Canis lupus familiaris: one gene and its partner. The protein of the gene in region 1 purifies or fractionates together with the protein of each later gene. This does not show direct contact. Links are inferred from orthologs where the notes say so. Each region holds a gene or a part of one and is shown on either strand. Other genes may lie near its edges.

The links.
Region 2: the proteins of VASP (region 1) and PFN1 purify together in Homo sapiens (affinity purification with western blotting; 3 studies listed by BioGRID and IntAct, with this or other methods). This does not show direct contact. The link is inferred for Canis lupus familiaris from reciprocal best matches to the Homo sapiens genes VASP and PFN1.

The regions. Positions count from the first base shown.
Region 1 is NC_049222.1:110,771,927-110,776,197, reverse strand, and holds the start of VASP (vasodilator-stimulated phosphoprotein), read left to right. Parts: upstream 1-1,451; 5' UTR 1,452-1,496; coding exon 1,497-1,501; intron 1,502-4,271. UniProt on the Homo sapiens protein: Ena/VASP proteins are actin-associated proteins involved in a range of processes dependent on cytoskeleton remodeling and cell polarity such as axon guidance, lamellipodial and filopodial dynamics, platelet activation and cell migration.
Region 2 is NC_049226.1:31,873,963-31,878,264, forward strand, and holds PFN1 (profilin-1), read left to right. Parts: upstream 1-1,421; 5' UTR 1,422-1,573; coding exon 1,574-1,705; intron 1,706-2,984; coding exon 2,985-3,177; intron 3,178-3,728; coding exon 3,729-3,826; 3' UTR 3,827-4,082; downstream 4,083-4,302. UniProt on the Homo sapiens protein: Binds to actin and affects the structure of the cytoskeleton. At high concentrations, profilin prevents the polymerization of actin, whereas it enhances it at low concentrations. By binding to PIP2, it inhibits the formation of IP3 and DG.

The DNA of each region.
Region 1 (4,271 bases):
CAGGTAGAGGACCTGGCTTGAACAAAGGCTGGGAATGGTGGTTCTCTCCCCTAGTCAGCTGGGTCCTGTGAATTGTTGGTTTCACACCCCTACCTTGCACCTAGGCACCCCTGTGATTCAGGAGCTCAGGCAAGAGGGCTATGGCCCAGATTTCTTCCTTTACCTTCAGGCCTCAGTTTACCCACTTGTGAACGTTGAACCTATGATTTCCCAGGCATCCAGCCCCAGGGTACCTGACCCGGGCCAGGTGGCGCTCTGCGGGAGGGGAGTGGCCACCAGTGGAGTCACATGGGGCGGGGCCTGCGGGACCCGCTGCGGAAGCTTGGGAGGGTGTTTGGGCCTCAGACCCAAGCTACTGCGTGGGGGAGGGGGTTCCTAGGAGCCAGCACCAGGTGGGTGGGTGCCCCTGCCTCCGCGCCCTCCTATTGCTGGATGATCCCGCCATCCTCTGCGGGCGAAACTGAGTCACGGCGGGGGTGCGTGGGGAGAGGTTCCAGGGGTTTTAACCACACAGGAACCTGGAGTCCCATCCGCACCCAGGGGCAGCGCCGCACCCTCACCCCTGCCCCCGCCCCCACCCCCACCCCCACCCCCAGGCAGTGAGTCAGCGGCCGGCCGCGCCCCCTCGGCCCACTTCCTCCTCACCTTCCTGGGGCGGGCGGGGGGCGGCGAGAGGGATGGGGCCCTCCCCGCCCACCCCCCCCTGTGCTGGGGAAAGGGGTTCATCCCTTAGTCACCTTTCATATATTAGCAGAGAAGAGAGACGCTGGGGGTAGCATTTAAGGTATCATTTAAGGGGGAAAATTTGAGAGAATCTATGCTTAACCAGAGGATCGTCTTCGCGCCCACCCCCCAAATTGAGCAGAACGTGAAGAAATGGAGAAGTCGTTGGGGAGGGTGAGCAGGAATTGTCCCCATTAAGATCCTCCTAAGAATTTCCATCGTAGGAGCGAATGAGCGATCAGGAAGGATCCCTTGCCCTCCACCAGACCTACCCCCTAATTTGGGGGTGACCCTCAGCGTGCATCCCCATTTCTCTAACGTTGGGGAAGAGGTAAATAGCGGAAGTGTAGGGTTCCGCGTTGCCCTTTTAAGCGCCCTTCACCCCCCCCACCGCCTAGAGGTGTCCGCGGCCCCTTTAAGGCGCAGGGCATTGTGGGTGCGGGGAGTGGAATTTTGGAACGAAATGTAGCGAAGAGAAGTACAGTAGTAAGAGTAACATTGTACCCGCCGCCGGCCGAGGGGGCGCGCCGGGGACGGGACGCCGCACCCCCTTTCTGCCGCAGGGACCCCCGATCAAACCTCCAGAGGGAGGAGGCGCCTGAGGACCCGCCCCGGCCCCGTCCACGTTCCCCCCCAGGAAGCCGGACTCTATGGGGCGGGACCCTGGGGGAGACTGAGCAGAACCTGGAGCCAGCCCCGAACCCCTGAACCTTGAGCCAGGGGCGCCCCGGGAGCACCCACCCGTGGGTGCGCCGCCCTCCCGCTGAGCAGCCATGAGGTGAGCCTCGAACTGCCTCCAAACCCTTCCGCGCTCCGCGCGGGCTCCCCGCCCCGCCTTTGTCCCCCTCCCCCAGCTGGAATTTGGGGACAGGGCACTGGGGGCCTCGGATTTGAGGCCGAGCCCCCTTGGACGAGTTCCAAATACTGACCGCTTCGCCATGACTCCTAAGGCTCGGGTGGTGCCTCAGAGGTTCTCTCGGAAGCCCTCAGATTTGGGGGCGCCCCGAGGACTCCCGAATTTCTTAAAGACTTTTTCAGAGAACCTCCAAGTTGCCAGATCCTGCCAGCATGGAGGCCAGAATTAAGGCAGGGCTCAGACTACCCCCCCAAAAATCTCAACTCGGGCTCCGGGAGGGATTGAGGGGACCGGGTTGGGGGTTCCTGGGACCTGGAAGAGAGATTCGGGACGTAGACCTTGGTTTGCCGGGTCTGCTTTTACGTGGCGCTGGAAAAAGCCTTCCCAAGTGGGACCTCGCTTCTTAACTTCGGGGGCACTTAACCCCTTAAATTTCGGGGGGCTCTCGTCCTCCGGTGGAGGTGAGTGCAGACGAACCCACGGACCCGGACAGCCTCGAGGGTCTGGTTGGGACTCCCCTCCCCCGCCGCTCCCCACCCACCTTCTGTTTAAAACAAGCGGTGCCTAGGACGGAGCTCCAGGGCTCGGCGCGGAGGGCGGCTCCCCGGCCCGGGGCCAGGAGGGCGGCCCCGCGCCCCCACCTGTGCGTCCTGGGGAGGGAGGGGGCGCGGCAGCTGCGGGAAGAGGGGCCTTTGTCTTCCTGACTCACCTGTCGAGACAGCTGGTGTTGGGGGGGCGGGCAAGGAGTGCAGTGGGCCGGCTGCTTTCCCCACCACGCGCCGCCCCTTGCTCTCACCACCGCCCCCCTACCCGGCCCTCCAGAGCCGTGGGGTGGGGGGGGGGGCGCTGTAAAAAGCTTCAAGGTCATAGCCCTCTCCCCCTGGGACCCAGGCTCCCAAGACAGTCCCAGACACCTTCCCAGGAATTTAATCCTGGGGTTGGGGGGCCCAGAGGACCCAGGGATTTTTGTCTTACCGGGTCGGACCTCAGAACTCCTGGGCTCACCTGAGGGCGGGGCCGGGGCGGGCTGGGAGACCGGAGTAGACCCTCCCCCACTCTCCCCTCCCCCTGGCCCCCCATAATCTCTCCCTTGGGGCCCGAGCCTGACAATACTATCTCCCTTCCTCCACTCTCTCAGGGACTTCCTGCCCCCAAAGCCCCCAGCTTGAGGGGGAGGCCCCCCGAGGAGGACTGGGGATTAACCCCCTGGTGCCCACATCCTCCCACTACCCCCACACGCCCCTGCCCTCTGACATCAAGAGTCGCATTGCCCTTTAGGACCATTAGAGACCCCCTCCGCCTGTGTTCCTTCTGATGTGAAAGTGTTGGAGCATTTTGGAGTGAGGGGGCACCCACGGACACCCACCCTCGAGGTCTCCCGCCTACCTACCCCCCATTATAGCCACATCCCTCCGAGGCCTGCCCCGGAGAGGGGGCATTTTGGGGGGAGCCAGGCTCTCTTCCCTCACCCTCTTCCCAGGGGACCCTCCTCTCCCACGGCTGCCCCCCCGCCCCGCCCCCCGCCCCCCCTCGCGTTTCCGGTCCCAGGCACCGTGGAAGGCGGATGGCGGATGTCCGAGTTAGTGCTGCCTCACTCACTGTGAGACCGTAAAAGGGCAGGAGCAGTGTCTGGGCCGGCCTCCCGCCCCCCCTCCCCCAGGCCCGGAGGCCTTCGCCCTCCCACAGGGTCCCCCTACTGTTGGCCGCGGCCAAAGCTCCCACCTCCTGGGGGGTGGGGGGGCGGTGGGCAGGGGTTGAACTGCTGGGCCTCCCACCGGAGGGTCACTCGCACCTCCCCAGGGGGTCTTCCCTGCTGATGGCCACGCCCAACTCGCTGCGCCCCCTCTTCCAGGACCTCTAGGATTCCAAAAGACCCCTGCCCCTGCATGAGGGCAGCCAGGGAAACTGAGGCTCGCCCTAGATCCCTCAGGCAGTGTTGAGGGAGGGGAGGGGACTGGGATCCTGCGACTTGACTTCTGTCTGCTTTGGCTGGGCGAAGAGAGGATGTTAAAATGGAAAGTTACAAGATATAGTTCTTTTTCTCCCAGTTTGACAAATATTTGTTAAGTGTCTGCTGTGTGCGAGACTCAGCTGGGATTCTGGGAAGGCTCAGAGAGGGGGCAGAGGTCTGAGAATCTCAGGGCAGAGGGCTGCAAGCGGTATTTAGGTCCATTTCTTTCCTCTTCCAGGAATGGTAATTATTATTACCTTACAAAGTTGTTGTTTTTTAAATAATAATAAGAGACCATCTGATCAAACATGTGCTCTGTGCCAGGCACTGTATTATTCTGACTGCCCCACCTCCATGGGTCAACTGAGACACAGAAAAATTAAGCAAATAACCTATTCAAGTCAGTTTGGAAGTAGGCAGCTCTAGATTTGAATTTAGGGCAGTCTCCAGACTACGATGCTATTACAGAAAAAGGAAAATAAAACGTTTTAATGGTATTAAAAAAAAAAAAAACAAGTAACATGTTTGCACTATGTGAACACTTAAGATAATGCAGATAAGCAAGAAGAATCTTTTACCTTTCTGTTCATTTATGGGAAACTGAGGCTTATAGGGAAGGAGCAGCTAGAGTGAACCCACACAAACCCAAAGCCCATAGATCTGGTTCTTTGTACAAGGTTGCTTCAAAGACTTGCAGTTTTGGAAGGGTTATAGTTGGTGTGTGCATGGGGGTTTGCAGGG
Region 2 (4,302 bases), on another chromosome or scaffold:
GGGGCGGGACGGGACCGGACCGGAGGGGGTGGCCCCTGCGGTCTGAGCGTCGGGTCTGGGGGCGGCGCGGGGTGCGCCCCGGCCCGGGGAGCGTGGGCACCTCGGGGCTCCGGCCCTGACCCTCCACGCCCGCCGGCTCCGGCCGCGCCCTCCCGGACTTTTCCACCCCGGGGTCGGGGGTGCGGCGGGCAGAGGTCAGCAGCCAGCGGGCGGGGAGCGCCGCCACGTGCCCGAGCGCGCCCCGCCCGAGCGGCCGGGTGACTCAGCGGCGCGGCTGTCGAGGAACGGGCTCGGGGGGCGTGGGGGCCCGGAAGCGGCCCAGACCCTCGGCAGCCCCACCTGGGCGGCCGCGGGGCCCTGCCCTTCCCTCCCTTGCCCGCGGGGCGCCCGGCGAGAGCCGCGCGCAAAGCTTCCCAGCACAAGTTTCCCCGAAAAGAAGAAGAAAGAGCCCGAGGGGCCCGAGCGGGAGGGGACTTTCCCCCTCTTGGAAAAGTTGCAAATCTGGCCACCTCCCCGTGTCCTTCCGCCCCGAGAAGTAGTCCCGCCCCTGCCTCCCGCGCCCAGTGACCTCGGCCGCGCCGGGCCAAGGGGCACGGCCGGTGACCCAAAGTGCTGGCAGCGGGGGGCGGGGACGTGGGGCTTGGGCCTGCCTGGGGGGGGGGCTGCTCCTGCACGTGTCTGTCGGGCAGATACTGGAGACACTCGTGCCCCCCCTTCCCGGTGGACGCCTTGGACTCTTGAGGGCGGCCGGGCCCATCTGTCCTCGCGACCCGGGGCTCCCGCAAGTCGTGACTGAATAAAATAGAGAGCGAGCCGCGTGCCCGCCCCTTCCGCCCCGCGGGAGACACGTCCCCGGCCCGCCCGCCTCTGGGGGGTGGGGTGCCGCCGCGCGCACCCCGCTCCCGCGCCGCGGGCCGCCGGCCCCAACCGCCCCGCGCCCTCCCGCCCTCCTGCCCGGCCCGGCGCAGGCGCGGACGCACGCGCCGCCGCCGCCGCTCCTGCCCTCCGGCAGGGGTGGGGGAGGGGCAGCCGTTCCATTTAACCCTGAGCGCCCCGCACCCCCCGCCGGCCCCGCGCGCGGCTCGCCCGTCCGCCGGCTTTCGCATCCTTTCCTCCCTCGGGCTCGCTCCCTTCCCCGGCACCACAGTCCCGTTTGTATTCAAGGCGAAGCGGAGCGGGCCCTGACCCGAACTTCCCCCTGCCACCCGCACTCCCCCCAACCACCATCACCCCACCCTCCATCCTTTTACAGAGCTTTCCACCCAACTCTGCAAATTTTGCAATAGGGGGAGGGATTTTTAAAATCGTCTTTTGCAAAGTTCGGTATCTGGGCAGGCGAGGGGGGAGGGAGGAAAGGGAGCAGGCCCCGCCCCTGCCGCCCTTTGCAAATAAAAATCTAGGGGGGGGGGAGGAGCAGGAAGTGGCGGTGCGAGGGCTGCTGCACAGCGAGCAGAGCCGCGGTCCGGACGGCAGCGCGTGCCCCGAGCTCTCCGCCGCCCCCCGCCCGCCAGCCCGAGGCCCCGAGCCCAGTCCGTGGCCCCCGCAGCAGCCCCGCAGCAGCCCCGCAGCAGCCATGGCCGGCTGGAACGCCTACATCGACAACCTCATGGCGGACGGGACCTGTCAGGACGCGGCCATCGTGGGCTATAAGGACTCGCCCTCCGTGTGGGCCGCCGTCCCCGGGAAGACCTTCGTCAACATCACGGTAGTACGGGGCCCGCGCGCCCCCGGGGCACCGGCCGGCTCGGGGCGGGGCGGGGGCGGTCGGGGCAGGGCGGCCGAGGGCCGCGACCGGGTCCTCGCCCGGAGGCGGCGGACGGCGAGCGCACTTGAACAGGCCCCCCCGAGGTCCCCGGCCCTCGCTCCGGGCGGCGGCGGCGCCCATCCCTCCCGCCGCCCCGCTCTCCGCGCCGGGGCGTTACATCCGGGGCACAGGGCGGGGAGGGGCGCGCCGCCCGGTGCGGAGGCCCACTTCCGCCTGGTCCAGGGCGGGGCGGGCAGGCGCGGCGGGTTGCGCCGGGGCCGGGCACCAGGCGGGAGCGGGGACCCCGGCCCCGCCACCATTGTTCCTCTTCGGTCTCTTCTCCCCGCCCCTCCCCGCGGGAGGCCGCCCGGCCGCCCCGGCCCCCGCCCCGCCCGGCCCCGTTACGGAGGGCGAGGCCGCCCCACGCCCCCCCAAGTCGGCGCGCCGCGCTCCCTGAGCCCCGGCCCGGAAGTCCCCTTGCCCTCCCTTCCCGCCATCCGGCAGGGCCCGGCGCGGGGGAACTTCGGGAGAAGTTGCAGGGCCGCGCGACTTGTGGAAGGAGGGATGCCTGCCGCCGTCCCCATCACCACCTCCCCTGTCCGCGCTGCCCGGAAGTGGGGAGGGGGAGCGGAAGTGCGGGAGGGGGGGAAGGGGATTTCCGGGCGGGAGGGGACCGGATGTGGGGGTTTGGGGTGTTCGGGGGAGGGGAGAGGTTCCCTGGGGTCCGTGGACCCGGGTCTGGCCGGCCGCAGTCCCGCACCGCCGTGCCAACTTGGCCAACTTTCCCGGAGGGCCCCCGGGGTCGGCTCGCTGGTCTGGGGACCGCGCCCCTGCCCTGGACTCGGCGCCCGGAGACCCAGGCGTCCGGGCCCCTCGCGGCTCCTGCAGAACCTTTGACCAAATAAGGACAAAGTTGCCTCCTGCTCCGCCCGCCCCCTCCCTTCCCCTCCACGCTTCTGCTTTTCCTGGAGGAGCGTGGTGCGCGTCCATGGGCTACCCGGCTCTGCCATGCCACTGTCCGCTCCGGCTTCGCCCCCGCCCCGTTCCCTGGGTGTGTGTTCCCCGTGGGATGACACCAACCTGGGATATGGTCTCCCCGTGTCTCAGCAGTCTCTTAGGAGTTTGTCGGTTTCCACACGTGTGCACAAAGCAGACGGCATACACCCCATGTGGGGCGCGGTGCAGGGCAGGGGGAAACCGGGGGATCCTGACGCTGACGGCCGCTGCCTTCCCCTTGCAGCCAGCTGAGGTCGGTGTCCTGGTTGGCAAAGACCGGTCGAGTTTTTTCGTGAACGGGCTGACACTGGGAGGCCAGAAGTGTTCTGTGATCCGGGACTCGCTGCTGCAGGATGGGGAGTTTACTATGGACCTTCGTACCAAGAGCAGCGGTGGAGCGCCCACTTTCAACATCACTGTCACCATGACTGCCAAGAGTGAGTTTCTGTGACCCCTGACTGCCTCCCGGCCTCCGATGTCCCCTCATGAACCTGTTAGCCTCTGGGGTTTCCTTTGTGGCTCCCCAGTACTAGGAGATCACAGGCCGCTGGGTGCTTCCTCCACTCCTCAGTTCCTCATCTCCTAATAGAACTTGAACTGCATTACCTCTTCTGTTCCTTCCTGGCCTGAGCCTTCTAGGGGGCAGAAACCCTGATTTCTGGGAAAGGGTAGACTGATGGCCAAAAGACTGGGTGTCTTCTGAACTCTGTTAGGCCTTGGGGTAATAAGCCCCACTGTGCTTATTACTCCGAGCCTGAATCCCTGGTCCCTAAATTAGTTTCACCCGTTTCACCCTCTGGAGCCCTAAGCTTGATTCCCTCTCCTGAAAAGCCCCATTGTTTCAAAGTGACTGACAGCCTGCCTGTGTGTTGGGGGGGTTGGGAGAGAGGAGGTTGGGTTACAGCCCCCAGGGCTGGACAGCTGCTCAACAGCTGGCAGGGGGTGGGTTGTGACACCTGGGTCCTAGCCTCCATTCTCTTTCCTCCAGCGCTAGTCCTGCTGATGGGCAAAGAAGGTGTCCACGGTGGTATGATCAACAAGAAATGTTATGAAATGGCTTCCCACCTGCGGCGTTCCCAGTACTGACCTCGTCTGTCCCCGCCCCCTACCACTCCCCACTGCTTTTGCACCCCTCTCCTCCCCATACACACACGTACACCATTTTTATTTTTTGGGCCATTACCCCACACCCCTTATTGCTGCCAAAACCACATGGGCTGGGGGCTGGGGCTGGATGGACAGACACCTCCCCCTACCCAAACCCCTCCTGTGTGTGGTTGGAAAACTTTTTTGTTTTTTGGTTTTTTTTTTTTTTTTTTTTTCTGAATAAAAAAGATTCTACTAACAAGGTGCTGTGTGGTTTGGCCTGGGTGTCGGGGTGGACAGTTCCCATGACCTGTCACCTCTATCTTGGCTGCGGGTTAGGGAGTCAAGGGCACTCCAAAGTCTAGGCATTTGGGCTTCTTGAGTCCTGCCCAGGGGGTAAAGCAGCACCTGCCAGAGGCCCACCTGGTCAGGTGGCACAGCCCTAGGTCTTGGTAGATAATGGAAAAGAGCTGGAC